3 linked regions of the Callithrix jacchus genome follow. The main gene of each other region encodes a partner of the protein of the gene in region 3 in a complex. Links are inferred from orthologs where the notes say so. Each region holds a gene or a part of one and is shown on either strand. Other genes may lie near its edges.

What was found.
Region 1: the proteins of JARID2 (region 3) and AEBP2 are in contact, whole or in part, in a cryo-EM structure (PDB 8VNZ), measured with the Homo sapiens proteins. The link is inferred for Callithrix jacchus from reciprocal best matches to the Homo sapiens genes JARID2 and AEBP2. Residues at the interface, in NP_004964.2 of Homo sapiens: Ser148, Lys151, Pro152, Lys153, Thr154, Glu155, Asp156, Leu158, Thr159; in NP_001107648.1 of Homo sapiens: Arg407, Ala410, Ile411, Asn414, Leu415, Glu420, Ser421.
Region 2: the proteins of JARID2 (region 3) and EZH2 are in contact, whole or in part, in a cryo-EM structure (PDB 8VNZ), measured with the Homo sapiens proteins. The link is inferred for Callithrix jacchus from reciprocal best matches to the Homo sapiens genes JARID2 and EZH2. Residues at the interface, in NP_004964.2 of Homo sapiens: Arg108, Pro109, Arg110, Leu111, Ala113, Gln114, Arg115, Lys116, Thr154; in NP_001190176.1 of Homo sapiens: Arg78, Ile131, Pro132, Tyr133, Asp136, Ile146, Lys156, Val157, Asp160, Arg161.

Annotation. Positions count from the first base shown.
Region 1 is NC_133510.1:3,955,903-3,967,151, reverse strand, and holds part of AEBP2 (zinc finger protein AEBP2), read left to right. Parts: intron 1-5,427; coding exon 5,428-5,495; intron 5,496-7,302; coding exon 7,303-7,416; intron 7,417-10,482; coding exon 10,483-10,509; intron 10,510-11,081; coding exon of another isoform or gene 11,082-11,127; exon of another isoform or gene 11,128-11,249. UniProt on the Homo sapiens protein: Acts as an accessory subunit for the core Polycomb repressive complex 2 (PRC2), which mediates histone H3K27 (H3K27me3) trimethylation on chromatin leading to transcriptional repression of the affected target gene.
Region 2 is NC_133512.1:98,903,255-98,914,503, forward strand, and holds the end of EZH2 (histone-lysine N-methyltransferase EZH2), read left to right. Parts: coding exon 1-73; intron 74-565; coding exon 566-735; intron 736-1,165; coding exon 1,166-1,260; intron 1,261-2,330; coding exon 2,331-2,371; intron 2,372-2,837; coding exon 2,838-2,963; intron 2,964-3,765; coding exon 3,766-3,944; intron 3,945-6,142; coding exon 6,143-6,238; intron 6,239-7,509; coding exon 7,510-7,591; intron 7,592-8,506; coding exon 8,507-8,587; intron 8,588-8,734; coding exon 8,735-8,819; intron 8,820-10,197; coding exon 10,198-10,258; 3' UTR 10,259-10,522; downstream 10,523-11,249. UniProt on the Homo sapiens protein: Polycomb group (PcG) protein. Catalytic subunit of the PRC2/EED-EZH2 complex, which methylates 'Lys-9' (H3K9me) and 'Lys-27' (H3K27me) of histone H3, leading to transcriptional repression of the affected target gene.
Region 3 is NC_133505.1:15,485,862-15,489,461, forward strand, and holds the start of JARID2 (protein Jumonji), read right to left. Parts: upstream 2,606-3,600; 5' UTR 2,103-2,605; coding exon of another isoform or gene 2,058-2,102; intron 385-2,057; exon of another isoform or gene 267-384; intron 1-266.

The sequences.
Region 1 (11,249 bases), on a different chromosome or scaffold from region 3:
CGAAGTTCTGCGATTATAGGCATGAGCTGCTGCGCCTGGCCTTACTACAGGTTTTTATATAGTGGAGACAGTGTTTTATTTTTGCTTAAACTTCTGCTTTTACTCAGTCCTAATACTGAGTTTTAGGATGACATTGTAACATTATTTTGTTTGGGTGGTTGAAACTTGATTTAAAAAATTGAGATTAAGATGATTAAAAGACTAAAGTGCTAATTTTCTTTATATGGAAATTTTAAGAGTTAAACATTATTATTTTCTGATTTTATTTTAAGCATTACCTTAATTTGGTAATGAAATGGAAAGTATATTGCTTTTTTTTTTTTGACATAGTCTTACTTTATTGCCAGGCTGGAGTGCAGTGGCGTAATCTTGGCTTACTGCAATCTCCACCTCCTGGGTTCAAGTGATTCTCCTGCCTCAGCCTCTTGGGTAGCTGGGACTAAAGGTGCATGCCACCACGCCCAGCTAAGTTTTTGTATATTTAGTAGAGGTGGGGTTTCACCATGTTAGCCAGATGGTCTCGATCTGTTGACCTTGTGATCCACCCGCCTCGGCCTCCCAAAGTGCTGGGATTACAGGCCTGAGCCATGGCGCCCGGCCTGCTTTTCTTACACTTCTTTAGGTCTTGCTGTTCAGATTGATGTACCATTTAACTTGCATAGATTCCTTAAGCTTAAACCTAAAAACTTATTGGGCTACCTTTCATTTAAAATAAAACCAACTAAAAACAGTAAAAAACTCTAGGACATAATAAGAGGCTTAGGTTGTAAATTAGAGACTTTTCCTTCTCAGTAGTATTTTTTCTTTACTGTTTATTCATTTAAAGATATTTCAGAGACTTTCTTCTTCCTCTTCCGGGGACATTGTCTGCAGGCACTCATGCTGTTGTAGGCTTTCCTACGATACAGCCTCTAACAAAACTAGGGTTGTTCACCTTTACACCAGGAAGGTTGGGAAAGCACCAAAATCTGCATGTGTCGTGTGCCCATGCAGACCTTGAGGTGTTCACGGTGTAAGACCGAAAGTTCTTATGAGAGTGTCCGAAACAGAAACATGGCCTTTGGTGGTTTCACGTGTTGTAAATGTGTTCGTGACAGGATCAAGCATGCTCTCCGTATTGAGGAGCAGAGAATGGTTGTGAATTTTGAAGACACAAGTACAGAGTCAGAAAGCTAGATTAAAACATGAAACTTCTGTGAGTAATAAGAATGTAAAGACTTAAAAAAAAATTTCATCTGCTATGAATGCTTTTGATTGGCTAAGGTAAGCTACATACTTAGATAGCAAAACAAATGGCATTTTTTTCCCTTAATTAATAATGATAACATGGCTTTAGTTTGATTATTTAAAGCTTCTTTAATTCCTTTTTGTTTTTTTCCTTTTGTGAAAATACATGATTAAAAGTGAAGCTGAGGCTGGGTGTTGGGGCTCACACCTGTAATTTGAGCACTTTGGGAGACCAAGGTGGGGCAGATCACTTGAGCTTAGGAGTTTGATAGCAGCCTGGGCAGCATGATGAAACCCCCCGGTACAAAAAACGAACAGAGTCAGGCGTAGTGGCTGCGCTTGTGGTTCTAGCTACTCAGGAGGCCGAGGCGGGAAGAACACTTGAGCCTAGGAGGCAGAGGTTGCAGTGAGCCGAGATGATGTCACTGCACTCCCTGGGTGACAGAGTGACACCTTGGCTTGAAGAAACAAATGAAGTTGAGAAAAGTTTGTTGAAAAATTGAGGTGATTAAAGACTAAAAGAATAAAGAAAAGTAGAAGAAGTTGTGTGCCACGATCTCAGTGCCAAAGCAAACCTGGTTTTTGTTTTTCCTTTTATTGTTTTGAGGTTTGCTTAGAGTAGTACATATTTTAATTGTTTAGATTAGTGGATGTTTTACTTAAACGTATACATTTTTCTTTTGTTTTGGACAGTCACAGTCATGTGGTGTGACTTTGTGCCTTTTACTTTGATATTAGTACCATTGCTCCTTGTTTTGTTTTGTGTGTGTTTTTTTTTTTTGATGCATAGTCTCATGTAGTCTCACTCACTTTGTTGCCCGGGCTTGAATGCAGTGTCAAGATCGTGGCTTGTTGGGACCTCCGCCTCCCAGGTTCAAGCAATTCTCCTGTCTCATCCTCCCGAGTAGCTGGGATTACTGGCATGCGCCAACCACGCCCGGCTAATTTTTGTATTTTTAGTAGAAATGAGGTTTCCCTATGTTGGCCAGGCTGGTCACAAACTTCTGACCTCAGGCGTTCTACTCACCTCAGCCTCCCAAAGTCCAAGCGTGAGCCACCATGCCAGGCCTGTTACTTGTTTTTTTAGTGTTTGTGTGAACCCAGTTTGAAATGACTGCATAGTATTCCATTATAATCATCTGCTTGCATTCTGCATTTATTAGAAATACCTGGGGTAGAGACTGAATTGTCTACCACACTCTGTGAGAGCAGGTAGGCACACAAAGGATTGGCAATAATGGTGTACTATGCTAATGCAGAGTAAGCACTTAGCATTCTGGAGGCATAGAGTAAGAGACCCTTCACTCATTATTAGAGCTGTGGGGGAGGATCCGTGCGGAAAAGGTGATAATGCACGTGTCCTAAAAAGGAGATGTATCGTTGTGTGTGCGCATGGCAGACACTGCATATGCCAGGCAGGAAAGTGCTGAGGTGGTGGGAGTACAAATTTGATGTGAATTTTATTTGACTTAACTGAGACCTGTAGTTGCTTAGGTTAATTGCCTGAGTTAAAATGAGTAATCAAAAAATGGGAGTGTATGTAACTTAAACATTTATTCTGAATATGTAAAAGAATGTTCAGTAATTTGTTATAGAGAGCCAAAGTCACACTTTGGAGTATAGATAAATTAACTGGGGTTTCTAGTCACAATTCTTGAATAAACCAAACTTAAATGTAGATATAATCTAATGATTTGCAGTAGTTATTTATTTATTTATTTATTTATTTTTTTGAGATGGAGTTTCGCTCTTGTTACCCAGGCTGGAGTGCAATGGCGCGATCTCGGCTCACCGCAACCTCCGCCTCCTGGGTTCAAGCAATTCTCCTGCCTCAGCCTCCTGAGTAGCTGGGATTACAGGCACGCGCCACCATGCCCAGCTAATTTTTTGTATTTTTAGTAGAGATGGGGTTTCACCATGTTGACCAGGATGGTCTCGATCTCTTGACCTCGTGATCCACCTCCTCAGCCTCCCAAAGTGCTGGGATTACAGGCTTGAGCCACCGCGCCCGGCCCTGCAGTCGTTATTTATTTAAAGCGGAGCCAGAACTTGTAGACAATTGAAAAGCTATTAGAGATACCCTAATGAGACTTGTTACAGTTTTTGTTCTTGATTTTTACTGTAATTCTGCAGTATATCGCTTTTTAAATAAGTGACCTTTTTCATTTCCTTTCTTTCTCTCTCTCTCTTTTTTTTTTTTTTTGATGGTGTGGGGCCTCACCTTCTCCCAGCCTGGAGTGCAGTGACACTGTCTCAGCTCCTGGGCGCGGGTAATCCTGTCAACCTCAGCCTCCCAAGTAGCTGGTGTTAACAGGCACACACTACCACAGCTGGCTAATGTTTTGTATTGGAACAGGGTTTCCTATGTTGCCCAGGCTGGTGTAGAACCCCTGCACTTACACGATCCTCCCACCTTGGCCTCCCATGCTTTGAGATTGCAGGCGTGAGCCACAGAGGACGTGGACCTTCAGGAAGCCTTCCAAAAGCTGTGAACAAGAGTTTTCATACAAATAAGTCTTTAGTTTTAGTAGAGTGGGATTTGTTTTATTTTACTTTTGTGTGCACAGTACTCTAATAGTATCTGAATATGATAATTGTTCTTCTGTAAAATATTGATGCTGCTGGTGCGCAGAAAGCCTGGAGAGTTATGTTCCGTTCAGTTACAGATCAGTCCAATACTTCTTTTATATGTTCCACATAGTTTGGGAAACTGTTCTCAATATGAGGCTAAGGGAGTTCAAGGCAGAAAAGCCCGAACAGCGGAGGCCTAGAGAGGCCAGATCCTGAAGAGTGTTCTGTACCACACTTAGAGTGACCCTTTCAGAAGTCCTCAGGGGAACTGTTGAAGAGTTTATCAGGAAAGTGATACTACGGAATTTGTACTTTGGGAAAAGCCTTCTGGGTATTGAAAATAGCTTTGATGACTTGAGGAGGTCCAGAAGAAAGGAGACCTGAACTCGGATAAGTTACGGCAGTGGCTGGAGATAATAGGTATTAACAAGTACAGTTCTTAGATCTCAGTGTTGGGATATTTGCTCTCCCCTTTTTAGGCCTGAAGTGATAACGGTGTTCCCTGTAATACAAACATCCTTGAGCACAGAGCTTTTACTGAATCTAGGTTTATTTTTTTAGAATGGAGTTCCAAACGGTTAATTAATTGATTTTATACTAAACACTGCTATAGGTGGTATGACCCAAAGGGTTCATAGAGTAAGAAAAGACCTATGTCATGGGCTTTTCAGCCTTGTGGGAAAGACAGAGAGGTTTGAGTGCTACAAAGCAGGGAAGAACTACAAAGCACGATGTAGTGGCGGTACTATCTTTTCCAGGGTATGAACACTTAAGTTCTTGATTACAAGTGTTTTTTTTATTTTATAATTTTTTTTTTTTTTTAAACATAAGAGATGGGTTTTCACCATGTTGGCCAGGCTGGTGACCTCAGGTGATCCGCCTGCCTCAGCCTCCCAGAGTGCTGCTGGGATTACAGGCATGAGCCACTGTGCCTGGCCCCCCTTTATTTATTTATTTACGTTTATATCTATCTATTTATTTATTTATTTTTGAGATGGAGTCTTACTCTGTCGCCAGGCTGGAGTGCAGTGGCACAATCTCGGCTTACTGCAACCCCTGCCTGGGTTCAAGCGATTCTTCTGCCTCAGCCTCCCGAGTAGCTGGGACCACAGGCGCGTGCCACCATGCCCGGCTAATTTTTGTATTTTTAGTAGAGACGGGGTTTCACCATGGCCAGAATGGTTTCAATCTCTTGACCTCGTGATCTGCCCGCCTCGGCCTCCTAAAGTGCTGGGATTACAGGTGTGAGCCACTTTTTTATTTTTTAATAAGATGAAGTCTTACCCTGTCTCCCAGACTGGAGTGCAGTGGCTCTGTCTCGGCTCACTGCAACCTCCATCTTCTGAGTTCAAGTGATTCTCCTGCCTCAGTCTTCAGAGTAGCTGGGATTACACGAGCCTGCAACTATGCCTGGCTAATTTTTGTATTTTTAGTAGAGATGGGGTTTTACCACATTGGCCAGGCTGGTCTCGAGCTCCTGACCTTGTGATTCACTCACCTTGGCCTCCCAAAGTGTGGGGATTACAGGCGTGAGCCACTGTGCCCAGCCCCAAAAGTGTTTTTTTAACAATGCATGAAAATGATGTTTTGCAAATTGTTTTATGATTTTTTTTTTCATTTCATTATTAGGTAATAGCTAAGAGAAAAGAAGATTCTGGGAAGATAAAACTTTTGCTTCATTGGATGCCTGAAGATATGTAAGTATTTGAAATACCCTGTGTAACATTTAATAAGTTTATGTTTTATTTTTTTAAAATCCTAAGCACAAAAATTATTTGTTATTAAATTCAAACAAAAATTACATTGTAAAACATTTTGAGGTTGTCAGGATTAAAGAGATAATCTGAAAAGTCTTAGACTATCTGGTTTACCTTACAGGCTTTGAAACTTAAGGTTTTTTTGTTTAAGCTGGGAGCTGTGGCTGCCACCTGTAATCCCAGCACTTTGGGAGGCCAAGGCGGGTGGATCACTGAGGTCAGCAGTTTGAGACCAGCCTGGCCAACATGGTGTAACCCCATCTCTACTAAAAATGCAAAAATTAGCTGGGTGTGGTGGCATGCACCTGTAATCCCAGCTACTCGGGAGACTGAGGCACAGGAAGAAGTAGTCGTAGAAATTTTTAATCATTTTTAGGATTTTTAGGGACCTCCAAGCAGTATACAAGCAGCCATAACTGTGCCTTTGTTTGAATCATTTATTTTAAAAATTTGTAAATGTTCTCTAGCATACAATGAATGATATTTTATAGAAAAAGCAGTTGACCAAAAGAAAAAAAATTCTTCTGATTGTGGTTTTGCTGTACATCAAAAAAAAAAAAGGCAATTGACTAGTTTTCTAGCAGTGATTACATTTTTTTGAGTTTTAGTGCCTATTCATAGCACTTTTGACCTAGATGTTTCTCAGTTCAGATATTTCATGTTTAATTTTCTTTTTATCTTTTTAATTAAAATTTTCATTTTATAAAAAGGAAATCAGGGTATCTTACAGAAATTTTGGACAAAATTTTTAAGTATCAAGAATTGAATAAATGTAATTGAAAGAGATTTTATTATGCATACCAAATTCACATATGCGGCCAATAGCTGGGCACAGTGGTTTATGCTGGCAATCCCAGTGCTTTGTGTGGCTGAGGCAGGAGGATCGCTTTTAGGCCAGGAGTTTGAGATCAGCCTGGGCAACATAGTGAGACCTCGTCTCTACAGGAAAAAAAACAAAAAACAAAAAAATTAGCTGGTTGTGATGTTGTCGCCTGTAGTCCCAGATACTCAGGTGGCTGAGGTGGGAAGATGGATTGAGCCCAGGAGGTTGAAGCTGCATTGAGTTGTGATTGAATCGCTGCCCTCAAGACTGGGTGACGGGGCGAGACCCTGTTCCAAAAAAATCAAATTTAGATGTGTGTATTCTAATGTTTTGAAAGTTGATTAATCCAAATATCAAAATACATTTATTTTAATTTTCTTACAGAGTTGAATTTTTTTGAATTTAGTATTGTAGCCACATGCTTTTTTTTTTTTAAATGGAGTTTAATCTTCCAGGGTTTTTATCTATTTATTTATTTATTTTTGAGACAGTCTTGCTCTGCCGCCCATGTTGGAGTGCAGTGGTGCACTCTTGGCTCACTGTAACCTCTGCCTCCTGGGTTCAAGTGATGCCTTGGCCTCGGGGGTAGCTGGGATTACAGCTGTGTGCCACCATGCCCAGCTAATTTTTGTATTTTTAGTAGAGATGGGTTTTTACCATGTTGGCCATTCTAGGCTTGAATTCTTGGGCTCAAGTGATCTTTCCCACCTTGGCCTCCCAAAGTGCTGGAATTATAGGCATGAGCCAACATGCCAGACCCTTTTATTTCTCTCTCAGTAAAGAAATTTGCTAGCTTCCGGGAAACTTGGCTTCCGGGAAACTTGTTCACTTAATATGGACAGAAAATGCCAGAATGTGCAGGCACAGGAAGTGTCAATCTAAAATGAATGTTATCTTACCGTTGACTTGTTTTTTAATTCATAGTCTGCCTGATGTGTGGGTGAATGAAAGTGAACGACATCAGTTAAAAACTAAAGTAGTTCATTTATCAAAGCTACCCAAAGATACTGCCTTGCTTTTGGACCCAAACATATACAGGTAATTTAATTCTTGCCTTTATGTTTTACTTTTTGAATTGTAATTTTCTCTCCCCCAAATTTGGATAAATTAGGACTTAGTTTTCAGAACCGAATTTTAATATCAAGCATATCTTACTACTTCCTGGCATTTTTTTCCTTTGGTGTGTGGACTCACAAAAAGTTTAAAAATTGTACAATCCAGGAAAATAGTATTTTGCTAAAGTTTATATGCTTGTTTAATCCCAGATTTATCTTAAGTAGTAATTTGAAGATAAATGCCCTTTTAACAAGGTAATTTCTTACATAGTAACAGACTTTTGTGGACCTAATACGTTGCATGAGTCTGAAATACCAAAACTGTTTTGATTTTTTTTTTGAACTTACACTTTCTCCAAACTTTCTGAAAGAGCAATTCAAATATTATTTGTTTGTTTTTTTATATGTAGCTTAGAGTGTTCACATTTCTAGTACTTTTATGATTTGAGTTTTTTTAGTGTACTATGCTTATAAAGGTATGGGGGGAAGGAGAAGAGACCAGAATTTCTGTCTGTGTGCTAAGTCACTTTGCTAGGTGCTTTGTATACTTTATCCTCACGGCTGCTCTGTGAGGTAGGTTTTACTGTCTCTGCTTTACAGATTGGAAAACTGAGGCAAGAGGTTAAATAGTCTACCTAAGGTCTACAGAATGTGATTGAACTCCATGGTGCCTCTATCCAAATGAGGTACATTAGAGTGATTTAAAAAGTGGTGGCAATGCTTAAAACCAGCTTTTAAAAGGCAGTCTTACCGAAAGGGCTTTATGTCTTTTTGAATGAAACTTTGTGTATTTTAGCTGTTGTAAAGATAGCTAATTTTATAGTGACACTTTGGAGGACGTATTCATTCCATGATGTACTTTCTGAGTGTTACTCACATAGACTCCTGTAATTTGAGACATTATTCTATGAGTGAAAGTCTAACTATAGACATTTCCATGTGGAAACAGTTTTCCCTACCACAAAAAAGGTGTTTTTGGGTGGGCCCAGTGGCTCATGCCTGTAATCACAGCATTTGGGACGCTGAGGCAGGCAGATTGCTGAAGTCTAAGAGTTCAAGACCAGCCTGGGCAACATAGCAAGACCCTATCTTTACAAAAAAATACAAAAATTAGCCAGGCATCGTGGCACATGGCTGTGGTCCCAGCTACTCAGGAGGCTGAGGTGGGAGGATTGCTTGAGCCTGGGAGTTCGAGGTTGCAGTGAGGCAAAGATCGTGCCACTGCACTCCAGCCTGGCTGATAGAGTGAGACCCTGTCTGAAAAAAAGAAGTTTCTTCTCGAACTTCTTTTGATGAAAGTGCTAATTAATACAGTAAAACTTCTTCTTTGTGGAATGAACTAGATCATCAAGGAGAAGAAGATTGAGAGTAGTCTACTACTAAAAATTTGGGAAGGTTACAAGTTACCACTCAGAGAGTTGTCGAAGGAGCATGGATCTTAAAGTAAGATTAGTCTGTGTTTCTGCCCGGCATCCTACTTCCTTCTTTCAAAGAGTCTTGCCTTCTCACCAAACCAGCTTATTTTTTTCTGCTCTTGTGCTATGTAGGAAGCAATTGAGATATTTTAGTGAAAGTGACTTGAAAAAAATTAAGCTTAGAACAGATATTCTGAAGTTCATAGGAACAGGGTTGCATATTCTCAAATATGTGTGTGATTCCACAATTCTTACCGATTTTATTGTTGGAAATGAGAATGTTATTAGGATATATTAGGTGCTTCTGTGGATTTAATTTTCCTTACCCGTATCCAAAAAACCATCTTGGCTAGGCGAGGTGGCTCACGGCTGTAATTTCAGCACTTTTGGAGGCCGAGATGGATGGATCACTTTTGGCTGGGAGTTCGAGACCAGCCTAGCCAACATAATGAAATCCTGTTTCTATTAAAAATGCAAAAATCAGTCGAATATAGTGGTGCACGCCTGTAATCTCAGCTACTTGGGTGGCCGAGGCATGAGAATCACTTGAACCCAGGAGGCGGAGATTGCGGGGAGCCAAGAACGCATCCTGCATTCCAACTGGGGCTACAGAGCGAGACTGTGTCCAAAAAAAAAGCCACCATAAAACTTACCTTTGACTCTTCATGCTTTCACTGTTCTGAAAATCAGAATTGAGTGTGCTGTAAAGTGGTACAGATTTGCCCTGGTGTAGCAGTCTTTTCTTAAATTTCTGGATTTTGATTTGGAAAACTTGTGAAATTAATTAAAATAAGAAAATTATTCTTTCTTGTTTTTAGGAGAAATAATTTCCTTCTTGTGCACATATCAAAATGAAAGCATGGCAAACCTTCTGAAAAATATATTTCTTCAAAATGAGACAAAATACACAGTTGGCCCTCTGTATCCACAGCTTCCACATCCATGGATTCAACCAACTGTGTATGAAAGCTATTTGGGGGTAAAAGATAACAATACAACAACAAAAAAAATACAAATAAAAGACCAGTGTAGGATAACGCTGGTTTACATAGCATTTATATTATGTTAAGTATTATAAGTATGCAGAAGGATGGATGCAGGTTATTTGGAAATCCTGCTATTTCCTTGGATTTTGGAATCTGCAGGAAATTCTGTTCTGGGGACCCCCACACTCCCACTGTGCATGCCGAGGGACAACTGAATTTATTTGGGATTTAAGCTTCAGGGTTAGTTGTTTCTGAGACCACATCTGTCTGTCTTCCCAGGCTTATCTTGAACTCCTGGGCTCAAGCAGTCTTTCTGCTTTCGCTTCCCAAACTGTTGGGAGGATTACAGGCATGAGCCACTCAGACCCAGCCAAGCGTCGGTTTTAAAGTACTAGTTGCCTAAAATGTATGTGTTACACATGGAATTCTATCTTAGAAACGCACAAGCAGGCGAAATTTAAAACTTCTATTAAGCAACGATTATTATGTAACTAAGTATGGATCCATATGTATAAATGTTTTGGAAATAAATTTTCATTATACTCTATGATCGTCACATTGCCTGTATCTTAGAAATATTTTTAATGTCTCTTGAAGCAGTGTGTTTGATTTAGTTGAATAAAAGAATTTCTTTTTCTCTTTTTCTAGAACAATGCCGCAGAAGAGGTTGAAGAGGTAAAAAATAAATAAATACATAAAAAGCAAACAAGCGGGGACACCTGCAGTCTTAGTCACTGACAATGGGTTTAGGAAAAGTTGCACATTAGAGTCAACCCCTTCCTTTTTTTTTTTTTTTTTTTTTTAAAAAAAAAAAATCCAGTATTTAGGATAATATTTATGCTTAGTGTAAACATTCTGTGAATGAAGTAGACTCTTCAGTGGAATATATTAATATATTACTGTATATCCACATTTTCATGGAATGGTACTGTGGGAGACTGAGCAAACACTCTTTTGGCAACTTAGTAGAACAGCTTCTTAAAGGCTTTGCATGCTTGCTGCTTTAAGCTGCTTTTCTTTTTTTCCCCCCCCTTTAGTGATTTCAGTAGTTTATATTGGAAAGAAAAACAATTACAACATGTGCCCTTACAAACACCAAAAGCACTGTAACGATATTTGTCTTGACAGTGTTTATTGATTTGAAGTCATATTAGGAAGTATTTAGACAATGAAAATTATCAAGAGATAATTTACTTTTCAATTATGATAAATAGATGTGATTGGTTGCCATTTGTGTTCTTTTGCAGAACTCTGATAAGAAAAGTGTTCAATTTGTATTTAAGCAAACAGTGAACGACGTTTGCAATCAACTAAAAATTCGTCTATCGAATTAGGGCTGAGAATTACTGTTAAAGAGTGTTGCAGTATGTCTGGTGGCTCCCTTTGCAGGACTAGGGCTTCCTCATGGGGTACAG
Region 2 (11,249 bases), on a different chromosome or scaffold from region 3:
GGGACTGAAACAGGGGGTGAGAACAATGATAAAGAAGAAGAAGAGAAGAAAGATGAAACTTCGAGCTCCTCTGGTAAGACACGTCTAATAATTGGGTTTTACTGTTCTGTGAAGTCTCATAATGTGAGGATTAAGGATATATAATGCACTGAATAATTTTCTTAGTTTTCAGTATAATGAGAAATCTAAGACCAGTGCTATCTCAAGAATGTGTAGCTGCATTGCTTCTGTTTCCTGCCTCCATGTGGCCCTACCGTAGCTTGTGATGTTTGCCCTGCTTGGTTGTTGGAAAGTTGATGCAGTTTATTCTCATTCTTTGTGCCATTTTTCTTTTTCGATCTTTCTTAGATAGGGAATAATGGAATTTGGATCATTTGGTTTAATATTCTTGATGTTCTATCAGTAGTTTTGGTTAGAGAGAAAATGTGAACTACTGATAAGTTAGTATTTTATGGATTGGATTTTAGTTGTCCTTGTCTTGTTTTTTTCTTTAAGCACATCCTGAATTTTACATCTTAATATTATTTCATCATTTATTAACCAGTGCTTACATTTGGTTTTGTAGAAGCAAATTCTCGGTGTCAAACACCAATAAAGATGAAGCCAAATATTGAGCCTCCTGAGAATGTGGAGTGGAGTGGTGCTGAAGCCTCAATGTTTAGAGTCCTCATTGGCACTTACTATGACAATTTCTGTGCCATTGCTAGGTTAATTGGGACCAAAACATGTAGACAGGTAAGATATCCGATAAAAATGTTCTTAAAAGAGCCTCAAACATAGGGATAAAAATGTACTCATTGTCCAAACAAAGAAAATTCTTGGTTATTACTAAGTTCCTCTTCATCTCCTAAAAATTATTTTTTCTTCTCAAGAGGGAATTGAATGAAAATTATTCTTCATGTACGTTACAGAATTTTCCCACTGTAGACATTTAAGGTTAGATTTTAAAAGCTAATAAGAATTTAAATTTAGCATCACAGTTCTTGACCGGAATATAATTACAGCCACCCCCAATGTGAGGGTAGAGACAGTGATGTCTGTTATATCCTGAGCATCTAGCAGTGTCACAGAAGGGACAAAAACATTTATCTGGTATGCATGAGTATAAGAATGGTTTGCCTTAATAAGACTGTCCTCATGGCTCTGTAACTGTGCCTCTTGTCAGGTGTATGAGTTTAGAGTCAAAGAATCTAGCATCATAGCTCCAGCTCCCGCTGAGGATGTGGACACTCCTCCAAGGAAAAAGAAGAGGAAACACAGGTGAGTCTGCCAGGAACCTCTTAGAGAAGTCAACACAGATAGACACTGCCCGCGAGGCCCTTCCTAAGGGCTGCTGTTGGTTTCTACTTAGTCTGTTTTTAAAAACCTTAAACTGCCATCAAAAACAGAACTGTGGAATCTTATTTCCACTGGGAATTGCTAGTATTTTTCTATAAGAATACAGCAGCCTTCAGTATATTTTGCATGTTAAGAGTCCTTAAAATTATGGTTACCAGACTGCATTTGAGTTAAGAAAAACTTACTTAGTAGTTTTTGCTGTGAAGGCTACATAAATAATTATTTTAACAACATGAAATGTTCTGTCTTTCTGATGTGAGCTCTGGGCCAGTTTTTAGAAGTATCTTTTATTCTAGGAGCTTGAATTTCTACATTGTGTGGCACTGCATTCCGATACTCTCAATAAGGCCTGTGGGAATGTTTTCAGGCTGGTTTGATTTATATCTGCTCTAATCTCCCCATACCTCCACCTCACATTTTTAAAAACAAGAAACAATTGGGTAGGTAAGGGTGCAGTTAGATTATGCTTCACAAATTATGTACAGGCTCGTGTTACATTTTGTTACTTTAAAGAAAATGTAGGGTCAACCCAATTTAGAATTTTTAAAAATCAAATGTTTTTTCTCCCCCATAAGAATTTAGGCTTTAGGAGATGCTTCTGAATTTTTGGTTGAATTATTTCTGACCATGTAGTTTACTTGATTGGTTAATGATGCCTGAAATTAGAGAAAGTGATCAGTACCATCCACATCAGAATAAATCAACAGACAGACACACCTGCTGCTTTGTGCAGCATTGGGAGCTCAGAGGTCTTGACCAGGAGTCATGGATAAACACAAGAAATGACGTCTTGCCACACCTGGGGCAGCCTGAGCTATCAAGCTGTTTGAATTGCTCCAAACTGATGGCAAGAATTAGCTGGGGGAGGGCATGACTCTTGGCTTCAATGCACTATGTGTTCATGGCACAGAGAGATCCAGTCAGGCAGCTCTCTCTTGTATTTGTAGCTTCCCTGCAGAAGTTTATGTTTGATTTTGTTTGTGTTTTTGCAGGTTGTGGGCTGCACACTGCAGAAAAATACAGCTGAAAAAGGGTTAGCATCTTTCCATTCCCCTTGTCATCGGCTTAACAATGTCTGCTTTGTTCTCATTTGTTTTAGAATAGTAACTGGATTAGGGCTTGGGTTATTCTAATATAATTGACTTCTGTACATTAAATCAATTTGAATGGAGGATGTCTGTTGATGAATCCCCAGTCGGTTCTCTTCTGTGAAGTGGAGGCTGACTGGAAGGTGCGAGTCCTAGTCAGTTGAAGGAGAAGTGCTTTGGGATGGGACTGAGATGTAGCCCTGCTCTAGATGGAGCTCACAAGCACTTGGGGGTGGGAGAGTATTTTTTCCATCATTCTGTAAACAGGAATATGTATAACATTATGCATTCAGTAAAGGAAGGCCAGCTGCACTCCACAGGTAGTAGGGAAGAATGTACTCTTGTTAATTGTGTATGATCGTTTCCCATCTCCCTGGATTCATTGGCCTGCATGATGTTATCTTTATTCAGACGGCTCCTCTAACCATGTTTACAACTATCAACCCTGTGATCATCCACGGCAGCCTTGTGACAGTTCGTGCCCTTGTGTGATAGCACAAAATTTTTGTGAAAAGTTTTGTCAATGTAGTTCAGAGTGTAAGTATTTGTTGCTTTGATGCAATTGCATGAGAACTAAATAGGCCTTTGGTCAGCAATTTAAAAAATCAAAAAGTGAGAACACAGGAGCACTCCCTTGTTTACTTTAGGAAATTCATCGATTCTACAGGTATTGATTGAGCCCCATACCTGGCCCCTGCCAGTGACCAGTCAGTTGCCTGGGTGTTGTGTGTCTATGTGTGTGAGGCAGGCAAAGTTGTATTAAAGGAATCCGAATTTTATTTTTTTCTTCTTTGATCATTTAAATTAAGTCATATTAAAGTCGGCACAGATTGTAAGAGAAATCTAGAAGGAGCTACCCACATAATTTTTGGGCACCAGAAGTTGTCAGAGTTTAGGAAGGTTTTAGTCTTCAGAATAAAGGAATGTAGCACAAATGTAGGGGATTATAATAATTGTTTAATGAAACTGCACATTAAGCTTGAATACTAAGGGAGTGTTTAGAACCAGGAGCTATTAGAATGGTCAAGGACCATGGATATTGTTTCATCCAAACCCTTTATTCACACTTACTTTAAATATATACATTATTTAACAAATGAAAAATGGAAGAACAACTCAATGGTGGTCTTTTTCAGTACAAACAGCTTTAACTTCGCTGTTAATACTTCCATTTCCTTGTCTATACAGTAGAGTAATAAGGCGGTTGTGAGGGTTGAGTCAGTCAGATGCTCAGTACAGCCCTTGCCACATATCTTTCTGCAAGTTCTTGCATATGGTGATGATTGTGATAGTCATGGTGTTGATGATGAGTGAAGAACCTCCACACCTCTCTCTGAAGGTCAAAACCGCTTTCCGGGATGCCGCTGCAAAGCACAGTGCAACACCAAGCAGTGCCCATGCTATCTGGCTGTCCGAGAGTGCGACCCTGACCTCTGTCTTACTTGTGGAGCTGCTGACCATTGGGACAGTAAAAATGTGTCTTGTAAGAACTGCAGTATTCAGCGGGGCTCCAAAAAGGTGAGCAACAAGTTGCTTCTGGAAGGTTGTTTTTAGTGATGCTAATCTCAGGATTGTCTTAGATGATTTCACTGGGGCAAAAAGTAAAAGTGATCCTTGAAAGGTACAACTGATAAGAGAGAAAGCGTTGATAATTTTCTCTGGGTAATGCACTCTGGGGCAGTCTCTTCATTCTAGAGAACACCGTACTGTGTTGGTGGGAGAAACCAGCAAATTCTGAGAAGTAGCCATTCATGGTATCAGATTTGAAATAGGAGCTGTTTAATAGAGATTTGAATTTCTCTTTATCTAGTATCCTTAATGCAAATAAATGGTGATTTCTATCAAAACACAGAGTCATTCTCATCAGATAGTATTTATAGGTTCCTTACTATGTAGGGTAAAAGATGAAATTTCCCACGGCAGGTTTTTATTTACTTAGTTCCTGTTTAATAACCTTGGAAAAAACCCAGCCAGGAATTATATATTTGAATTCTGGGAATTGTATGTAGGTAATTTTAACTGTATCAGTCAGGAAGTAATTATTGAGCAAAAGAAACTGCAACAACATGTATTTGGGAAATTTGTCTTTTTTTTTTTTTTTTAGGGTAGATGATAGGTTTTTCTCTTCAGTCAGTTCTTCTTATAATAATAACTGACATTTATTAAGCATGTAAAAATAGCAGGCACTGTTCTAAGTGCTTTAGTGGATTTGTTCATTGATCTTGATAACTCTGTGAGTGAGGAATAAATGTTAACCCCATTTTACCGGTACAGCAAACCCAAAGTCACAAGATTTGTAAAGGAGCAGGAGATCAAATCCCCCAGGCACTCACTCCCATTAACCTGCTCTTATGCTGCGTGTGTGTGTGTGTGTGTGTGTGTGTGTGTGTGTGTGTGTTGGGGGGTGTGGAGTAGACATATCTTTGATTGTTGGACCATTTATTTATGATTGAGATCACACTTTTTACCAACAAGTCCCCTTCAACCAGCAGTTCTGCTCCAGGCAAAACACTGAACTTCTCTTTGTTTTGTTCCCTTGTGTCTTTAAACCAAAGTCTGTGTTTATGGCAGATAGCTGTACAGGGTGGCAGGTTTTTTGTTTTTGTTTTTAGCTGTGATTTTTTTCTCTTAGGCATTTAAATCATTTTACTCTAGGCAGTTATATATCCATTTAGGTCATTGGGTCATGGTGATGCTGGTTCAGTTTCTGATGGCAATACCCATTCAGACCTAAAAATCTCCATTTCTCCCCCAAACAACTTGCCATTGCACTGCTTCCTCAGTTTGTTCAGAAAGAGGGTAATACTATTGATACTGACATGTCCTCTTTGTAAGACATTTTTTAGCTCTTAAAAATGTTAAACTATGTAGATACTTTTTTACCAATTAGGTTTCATTTGCATAGCAATATTTAGCTATAATTTAGTTTCTGCACAGAAGAGTATTTGGGAAGTTCACCTCACAGGTGAGTGGTAGGATGTTCCAGAATAGGAATAGATTGGAAGCTTGAGTGATCAGGAAGCCTTTGTAAAGGTCATAAGAAAATTTTGAATGAAAGCATAATAATGAGCCATGTTGAAAAATTGGCATGTGTTTGGGAACACATCCCTAACTCTATAATTTACTGCAGTGATCATCTTGGCCTTTCTGCTGAAAATAGACTACTGGACTGACAAGATCATGATGCCACCTCTTGGTAGATTTTCCTGAGGAAGTAGGGTGGAAGAACAAATTTAAAAGAAAGCTGCTGTGGGCTTCAGAGGGAACAAATGCCAGTGAAGAATCGGGGTGTCCTTGGGGGCATCTAGAACTGGTAATAGATGTCACTTGACGGAAGTAGAGGGAAAGTTATGAAGAGGAAGGTGATTTGGAGGTGCCCTTATATTAAATTCAGGATGAAAGTAAATTACTTAAGAAAATCAAGGGCTGAGGAGACCAGGCAGCCAAAGTGCAGCAGTAATGCAAACAACCAACAGCACCAAAAGTTTTTTCTGTAAGACAGTGATACTTCTCTGCTCTGTAAGAAAAACATAATTTTCATACTTAGCCAGCCATTCTCAGCAGCTTTCACACTGACTGAAGGTATGTGTCCATTACTGCCTTAGAACAGGTCTGAAGATTGACAGCAATAGCCTTGTTTTTATTCTGTAGTCTAATTTGTCCCTAGTCCATCTTTACCCTCTTCTTTGATTATATGATTGTGTTTTCTTCTCTAGCATTTATTGCTTGCACCATCTGATGTGGCAGGCTGGGGAATTTTTATCAAAGATCCTGTGCAGAAAAATGAATTCATCTCAGAATACTGTGGAGAGGTAAGCACTGATCACCTATATTCAGGTGGCATTGTATATAACAACTTTTCTTTATTTTAGATTGATTTCATTTGGTAGGTCTGTGGGTTTGATTGGAAATGAATTGCCATAAACTGCCTTTTCAGCCTGGACTTCTGCAGGTTGTGGATTTGCATGCTTAGTAACAACTGGATGGTGCTGGGTGCGGTGGCTCACTCCTTCAATCCTAGAACTTTGGGAGGTTGAGGCAGGTGGATTGCTTGAGCTCAGGAGTTGGAGACCAGCATGGGCAACATGGTGAGACCCCATTGCTACAAAAAAATGCAAAAATTAGCTGGGTAGGGTGGTGCATACCTGTAGTCTCAGCCACTTGGAAGCTGAGGCAGGAGGATCACTTGAGCCTGGGAGGTTGAGGCTGCAGTGAGCCATATTTGTGTCATTGCATTCCATCCTGGGTGACAAAGTAAGACCCTGTCTCAAAGGGAAAAAAAATAACTGGATTGCTTTGATTCTAGCCAAATACAGCTTTTCTCATTGAGGGACAACAGGGAGAACAAGAGCTTTATCATAGTGTCCTGCTTAATCCACAACCTAGTTGATAAGGACCTAGAAACAACAGTGTCATTAGTTACTCACCTTTTAAATTGTTGCGTTAAAGAAAAATCATAGGGCTAGCTTCAGTTTGGAACCAACTCACCCAATTTTTGTGTTTCACCCCCTGGCCTTTGTTTTTGAGGTGAAGCTCTTACTGCCCAGGCTAGAGTGCAGTGGCATGATCTCTTCTCACTGCAACCTCTGCCTCCATCTCCACGGTTCAAGCGATTCTGCCTCAGTTTCCCCAAGTAGCTGAGATTATAGGCATGCACACCACATGGCTAATTTCATATTTTTAGTAGAGATGGGGTTTCTCCATGTTGGACAGGCTGGTCTTGAACTCCCGACCTCAAGTGATCCACTTGCCTCTGCCTCCCAAAGTGCTGGAATTACACGCATGAGCCAAACTCTGTGTGTGTGTGTGTGTGTGTGTGTGTGTGTGTGTGTGTGTGTGTGTAACTCAGCAAAAAGACTTTTGTTTCTTACTTTCTCCAAGGATAATTACTTTGGGATGTGGAAATATTTCTGAGTTGAGGGTCCAGTGTGCAGACTGAATGGGAAAGAGAACTTGGCAGTAGTGACCCTTTTTGTTGAATATTCTCCAGAAGGTCCAGTATTCACTCTGTGAACTTTTGTGTGTTCTGTCAGGCTTGATCACCTTTATCCAAAAGAATTTTCTCCTGTGTCTTTCTCTTTAGATTATTTCTCAAGATGAAGCTGACAGAAGAGGGAAAGTGTATGATAAATACATGTGCAGCTTTCTGTTCAACTTGAACAATGGTATGTTTTTGAGCTGGGAGGCAGTGAGTTCCTCTGAATTGCATGTGGCAGCCTTTTGCTGCATGCAATTTCTGCTTCAGAAATGAAGGTAGAGGTCAGTGAGGTGACCGGAAGGAAGATCTCCACAAAGGCATTGGGGCTGCTTGCTGGAAAGGAACTGGAGCAAGGAATTCCTCAGGTAGCAAATACTAGGAAACCGCCTCTAGAGTCCCAGCCATCTGTGGATGGGGCTGCACCAGTCTCTGGCTGTGAAGGGGACATTGTGCTCTGTTGCTGCTCACCTCTTGTGTTCCAGAAGCTCAGCACACCTCCTCCAGTCAGTGCTTCTGACCAGGAGGGAGCACTGCATTTGAAAGCATCTTCCAGACTTCCCTGGATATTCTCAAAGGACTGAGAGGAAAGGCAGCTTCTTGCATAGCTGATATATGTTCTAGGGTAGAATGTAAGGCTATAGGGAGTGTTTTGGTGGGATTATATGAAAATGGAGGTAGGCTTAACATGTAAGATACTCAGAGAAACTGTTAGTTGGAAGTAGTAGGTTTTTTTCTAAGAATGCTTCATAGACATTAAAATTAATTTTAAATGTGAAAATGCCTATTCTTGAAATTTGGAAGAATTTAGATTCTGGTTTTTTGGCCATGTTTTGCTCAGTCAGATATGTTTATAGTTGATAAGTAATAGCTTTTGAATCAGATAACCATCTTGAATTACAGGTGATTAAATTTAACCTGGAACAATAAATAGTATGTTCTTCCAAATGTCATTTCTTACATAATGAAGTTGGTTGAATGGTTTATTTGTTTTTTGCAGGCAAACCCTAAAGAACTATAACCAGTTGCATTTACAGAATCATAATAACTTGATTGACTTAAAACTGAAATTCACTGGGTTGTGCATATTTTTTTTTTTTTTTAGATTTTGTGGTGGATGCAACCCGCAAGGGTAACAAAATTCGTTTTGCAAATCATTCGGTAAATCCAAACTGCTATGCAAAAGGTAGGTACCTTTGAAGTCAGAATTGGAGCTCCCTTTTCCATCCTGTGATGATGGACTTGAGTACTTCCGGGATACTTTGTTATGTGAACAAGTCGGTAACCACTCGTTGCTCTTCATGCTCACTAACACCGGTGTCTCTCTTTCCAGTTATGATGGTTAACGGCGATCACAGGATAGGTATTTTTGCCAAGAGAGCCATCCAGACTGGTGAAGAGCTGTTTTTTGATTACAGGTTGGTAAAGTAAATTTCTAGCATGATCTCTAAGGGCTTTTTCTACTGGATTTTGAACTCTGGACAAAGAATATTTTTTAGATGTGCTGTCTCTGAGGTGTGGGGTGAATTCTTTGACAGGTCAGTATTTGCCATGGCCATTAGTAGGGAATTAGGTTACACTTTCCTCTTAAGTATTCATTATCCATTTATTTGTTATACAAGTCATGCTTATTTTAAAAACAGAATAAAATCCATGCAGAAAGCCCCATTTCTCACCCTGCTATTGACAGGTGGGTGAGTCGTAGACCTTTTCATATCATGCTGCATGCTTGCTTGTGGAACATTTTCCAGAGTAAATGTGATCACACTGTCCTGTAGATTTTTCTGCAACATGGTTTTACTTGACAGTATACTATGTATATCTTTACTGATTAGATCTACTTACTTTATTGCTTGCTACGATACTTACTACACAGGTTATTATTTTAAAAGGTGCTGGTGGCAAACTGCTGCTTGGTCACCGTGGGTTGTTTCTGGGGGGGAGGTGCTGGCACTTGTGAGCCACCGATGGTTTCTAACTGTATGGTTAGGCATTAGGTTGCCAGTTGATGCTGTCAAGCTCTGTGGGATAAACTTAATACAGATTTAAGTGCAATCAGGTGACTGTCTAGTTCATGAACTCCTTTGGCCCCGTATACATCCCATCCAGAAGCTCTTTGTCAGTACTGAGTTCTTGCGTATTCGGATTGGCGTTTAATGTCTGCTGCACGGCCGAGAGCTCTCAGTGAGGCAGATGAGGTCTGAGTGAAAGGCCCCCTTTACCAAAAGGCCACTTCATTCCAGGCCTGCTGTGAATGAAGAGTGGGGGGTGGAGCTGGGGTTGGAGGTAAAGCTATCCAGCTTCCTTGGGTTGGCCCGGTGGTCCCACCCCGCAGATGGGCTTCTTGTGCTTCTTCCTGGGTGTCTGCTGCACTCTAGTTCTTTTTTCACTGGGGGAGTGACTGACAGCTGTTCTTGGGCCCTCTTTGCTGTGGTCATCGTGCTTTCCAGACCATGGTTCTGTTTTGCCGTTCAGCGTCAGGCCCATCATTGCGTGCACCCGCTTTCCTGGGGCCACTTGCTTCAGAGGCTTAGGGGAAGGCTGGGCAGAGCTCTGGCCAGGTTTGTTCACTTCGGAACTTGGCGGAGTCTCAAGTAGATGGCCAGCAACATAGACCAATGCATTGCTTCTATGAATGCCCTTATGCAGGCAGCCATGTAATTGTTGGATGTATGTGTATATGTTTTTTTTTTAAAGACATTTGAATGCACTCACTGTATTGAGCAGGCTTTGTTAAGTCTCAGCACATGTTGGATGGGGGTCATCCACCAGACGTGCTTTTTCCTGTTGTTTCAGATACAGTCAGGCTGATGCCCTGAAGTATGTTGGCATCGAAAGAGAAATGGAAATCCCTTGACATCTGCTACCTCCTCCCCCTCCTCTCTGAAACAGCTGCCTTAGCTTCAGGAACCTCGAGTACTGTGGGCAATTTAGAAAACAAAAATGCAGTTTGAAATTCTGAATTTGCAAAGTACTGTAAGAATAATTTATAGTAATGAGTTTAAAAATCAACTTTTTATTGCCTTCTCACCAGCTGCAAAGTGTTTTGTACCAGTGAATTTTTGCAATAATGCAGTATGGTACATTTTTCAACTTTGAATAAAGAAATACTTGAACTTGTCTTTGTTGAGTCATCTCTCACTGCTTTCAGGACTGTAACAAACAAAACACTTTTAAATTTAACTCGGGTTTTTTGTCTTCATATGAATCTTGATTTAACAGATACTGCTTGTGGATACGTGGAGGATGGCCATATATGAAGAGCACTACCGTGCACCCTAAGGGCTTACCCGGTAAAGGGCTGGATCTTACAGGCAAGACCAGGGTGGGTACGTTCCAGTCAGCTGTGCAACCTGAAGAAAGTGATGTAACCTCCAAGTCTGTTCCCCATGTATAAACTGACTGACCGAGTAGACTTCAGGGATTTTTAAGAACCTTCCTAGTTCTAAACTCCATTACACTAGAGTTTTTCAGAAATACAAGATAAGTTGGGATTCCTTACCTACCTACAAAAGGTGACAGGTATAAAACCAAACTGTAGTTTTATATCTTCTCAAAGAGGAGGTAAAAAACACAAAACTCTAAAAGTGTCAAGGAAACGACATTTACCTTGCATGCCTTGTGATAGTGTGGTTGGTTTCAGAATCTGAGGTCACTTCCCCTCTCCTTTCTCCAAGTACATTCACCAACATCATCGTGGGACCCTCACAGCTGCTGCAAACCAGTCCACACCGTTACTTGGCAGTTGCCTTTTCTATAGTTAGATCAGATAGTAACTTACAATACTCTATTTACTTAATGTGAAACCTAATTAAGGTGACTCACCTTGCTTTCCAATTCCACAGCAT
Region 3 (3,600 bases):
GCGGCGGGGGAAGAACCCGGGGGCGGGGAGGGGGTGCGCTGACGTCTCGCCGGCTTAACCTGTTGCTCCTGAGACTGCGTCGGAGCCCGCAGGCAGGGCCGAGGGAAGCCGGCCGGGCCGCCGCCATGCTCGGCCGTGCGCACGGTGGGGGGCGCCGGCTGCAGCTGTGCGCCGCGCGCCCCCTCCCCGGCACGCCCACGCCCCCGCCCCGCGCGCTCTCCCCTCCCCGCGCCCCGCAGGCCGCACCGCCCCCGCGCCCCACCCACCAGCCTGCCTGCCTGCCTACTAGCCGGCCCGAGTAGGCCGGTGCCCGCCTGCCTGCGAGCCGGCCCGGGTAGGGTAGCCCGGTGCCCGCCTCGCGCGCCAGCCTGGAACCCGGAGTCTGCCCCCTACAGGCCGCGCGCGCGCCCGCCGGCCCAGCCCGGGCCCAGCCGGCCGCGACCCCGGCGCGCCGTCCCCTCCGCAGCCAGCTCGAGCACGTCGCTAACACCTCTGTTCCCGGAGCATTAACTCGTGCCGTGCCTCCCGCGGCTGCCGCCAGCCACGGTGTTGCAGCCGGACGCCCGGACTCGACACGATCCGCGGACCGCCCGCAATTAAAAAAACCCACCCAACGCTGCTCTCCACCTCAAGAAGGTCCGGAATGGGAGGCGGGGTGGGGTTCTCGTCCAAGTTCTACCCCATTTGCTTTGTGGCTGCATCCGAAACGGACGTGCCCAGGGAAGGCGTCCAGCTCGAGGCAAGGTTGCCTCCGTGCAGTTTCTACAGCCGGAGTTTAAACTAGTCCTTTGCATTCTACCCAGCCCTCTGCAATGCGGATGTATTTTAATTCTTAAATTCTTTATGAACAGCTTTCTAAGTTGGACTTGATTATCTAACCTTGAATTTCTTTCACACTTGAAGTTGACGTGTCTAGATAAGAATCAGCTCTCTTGAAGAAGCATTCAGCTTTTCCATTAAATTTTTTACAAAACCAGTGCACCGAAGGTCATCTCTCATTACACACACCACAATGATCAAAAAGGGAAAATATTAACACCAATCTGTCTACTCAACTTAAATAAAACTTTCCTCTTACGCTAAGGTATGTTCATTTGGCCTTTTCTGAAAAAATGAGTTCTTTAAAGCACGCAGCTAATCACAGATCACTGGAGTGCATATTTGGTTAATCCCTTGGTCCCCTTCTTTCCTCCCTCCCCTCAAACTTAAAAAAAAAAAAAAAAAAGGCACCACACACAAAACAAAAACACTCCTCATGCCAATCAAAACGTAGCTGTACTATGCACAATTTAACTATTCCAAACCATTTAAATCTCTGAATAATCACCGAATTTCAGAAGCCCAGTTAAGAAAAAATGACTTGTAGTTACTTACATATGCATTCATACACACTTAAAAACATTAGCCATAGTGTGTGCCCTTTTCCCCTAGAACTGGAAATCATGAATTTTTCAAACAAAACCAGCCTCATTATTAAATTAAAGTCAAACCCAACAAATGCTTTCGCTGTAACATGATTCCCAACTGGTTTATGTTGCAAACCAGATAAGCCAAAATGACCACAGACATTAAATTTAATGTGCCAGTGCAAAGAGAAGATCGCCATAATCGGACCCTCGATTGCAACTTAAAGGGCTTCCAACAAACACGCGTTACACGATTTTTCCAAATAACATTAATAATAATAACACAGGCTCATTTGCATGCAAAGTGCAATATGGGGCCAAATCCGCTGGAGAATGCAGTTTAGTTACATTACCGAAGCCCCCGCCACCTCAAGCTCCACCAAAATCCCTTGCCTTTCATCTAAAACTAGATTATGGTTGTGTCATTCGAGGTCAATTTATTTACTTGAGGTATCTCTACACCAATCTGTTTTTTCAGCCAAACTAGGCAGACACCACTTTGCTTGAAAAGCCCTCTTTCAGAAAAGAAAGAAACAGCCTTATCGGACGCTGTGTTTAAAACCCTTCAGCTGCAGAATTATCTATAAACTTGACATTCACAGCCATTGCTTAAAACTGCAAGTCAAAGGATGTGTTGTTAGGAGCACTTACATATTTCTTCTGAATGATATTCCTCTTGGGTCTTTCCTTGCTCATTCTGAGATCCAAATGCTGATTGCAAAAGGGGACAATTGCTTCATGAATTTAAAGCCGTCAGAAATTTGCAAAAAAATATCCTGGTGGTTTTTATTGTTGTTGGTGGTGGTTGATCTTGTAATCCGACTTTTCTTCCTCTTCCCCCAAAGCCAGATTCGCCTTGAAATAAATCCGAAATTGGGAAGGAAAAAAAAAAGAGCCAAAGACGAACGAAGCAAACAAAAAAAAATTCACTTTAGTAAAACACTCATAATGGAAAATTTCCCCCGAAACACATACACACACACACAAAAAAAAAACCGACGCCCTTCACTCCCCCCCCTTTTTCCTCCAAAAACTACATCAGCGAAACGTGAAGGTCCTTAGTGTCTGATCCGTAGTTACATCTTGGAAAAGAAAAGGGAAAGATAAATAAAAAATGTTGGAAGTCACGTTTGTGCTGCAGCAGCAGTGCGAGCAGAAGAGTCAACTCCAGCGGCGGCGGCGGCGGCGGCGGCAGCACCACAGCGAGGGCTCGCCGAGTCTTTTTTCCAAGCCCCCTAACCAATGAGAGAGAGGCTATCCAGCCCAACTTTAAATGGACTCTGCTTTTATACAAGTTAGGGCTCCTCGGGTAATTCCCCGCCGGGCGCCAGCCGAAAACTCCCACCGCTCGGCCGCCAGGCGCCCGCTTAGCCCGGTGCCGACCGCCCCTGGCCCAGGCCAGGGCACCCCCGCAGCCTGGCCAACCAGACACCCGAGCGGCCTCGACGAACCCCTCCCAGGCAAGCCCTGGGCGTCGCTCCCACGCCGAGCACAGGCGTGAAATTGAGAGAGGCTCCCTAGCTCAATGCATGGCACGCTCCGTCGCTCCACCTCACCCCCTTTCCCCTGCCTGCCGCTCACCCCACGGCCGCCCCACGCCAGCACTCGCCACTGCCCTCGCGTCTACCTGCAGCCGGGCTGCTGGGTACGAGTGCCCCAAGGCGCCCGGCCCCGGGGAGAGCCGCCTATTCCCGGGGCACCTTAGAATGGTCCCCTTGATCTTCTGGAAGTTGTAGTCCCCCGACTACAAAATGGCTATGGCCACGGAAGCTGGGAACTACAATTCCCAGCCTGCCCCGCAAAGACTGTCACTCAACTCCCCTCCCTCCCTCGGCCCCCTCCCCCTCACCGACCGTGCCAACAAACGCTTGGACGTGTCCCGCGTGCGACACTGCTAGAGGCTGGCTCGGGATTGGCCCGCGGAGCGTGTGGTCCGCGAGCGAGGAACTCCCCACGCCGGCCCCCCTCCGGCCCCCCTCCCATGGCGGCCCCCTCCCCGCGCGCCCTACCCCCACCCGCGGCGCTAACCGCCTGTGGAATCGAGGAATCGCGCGCGCGCCCCCCAGAGCCGCGGGGGAGGGACGCGAGGCTTCCCCGGGGAAGGCCTCGGAGCGTGGCGGCGAGGGGGGCGGTGTCAGGGAGGGGTTGGAGCCCGTCCTAAGGAAAACTGGGCCACGCACCAAGAGGAATCCTC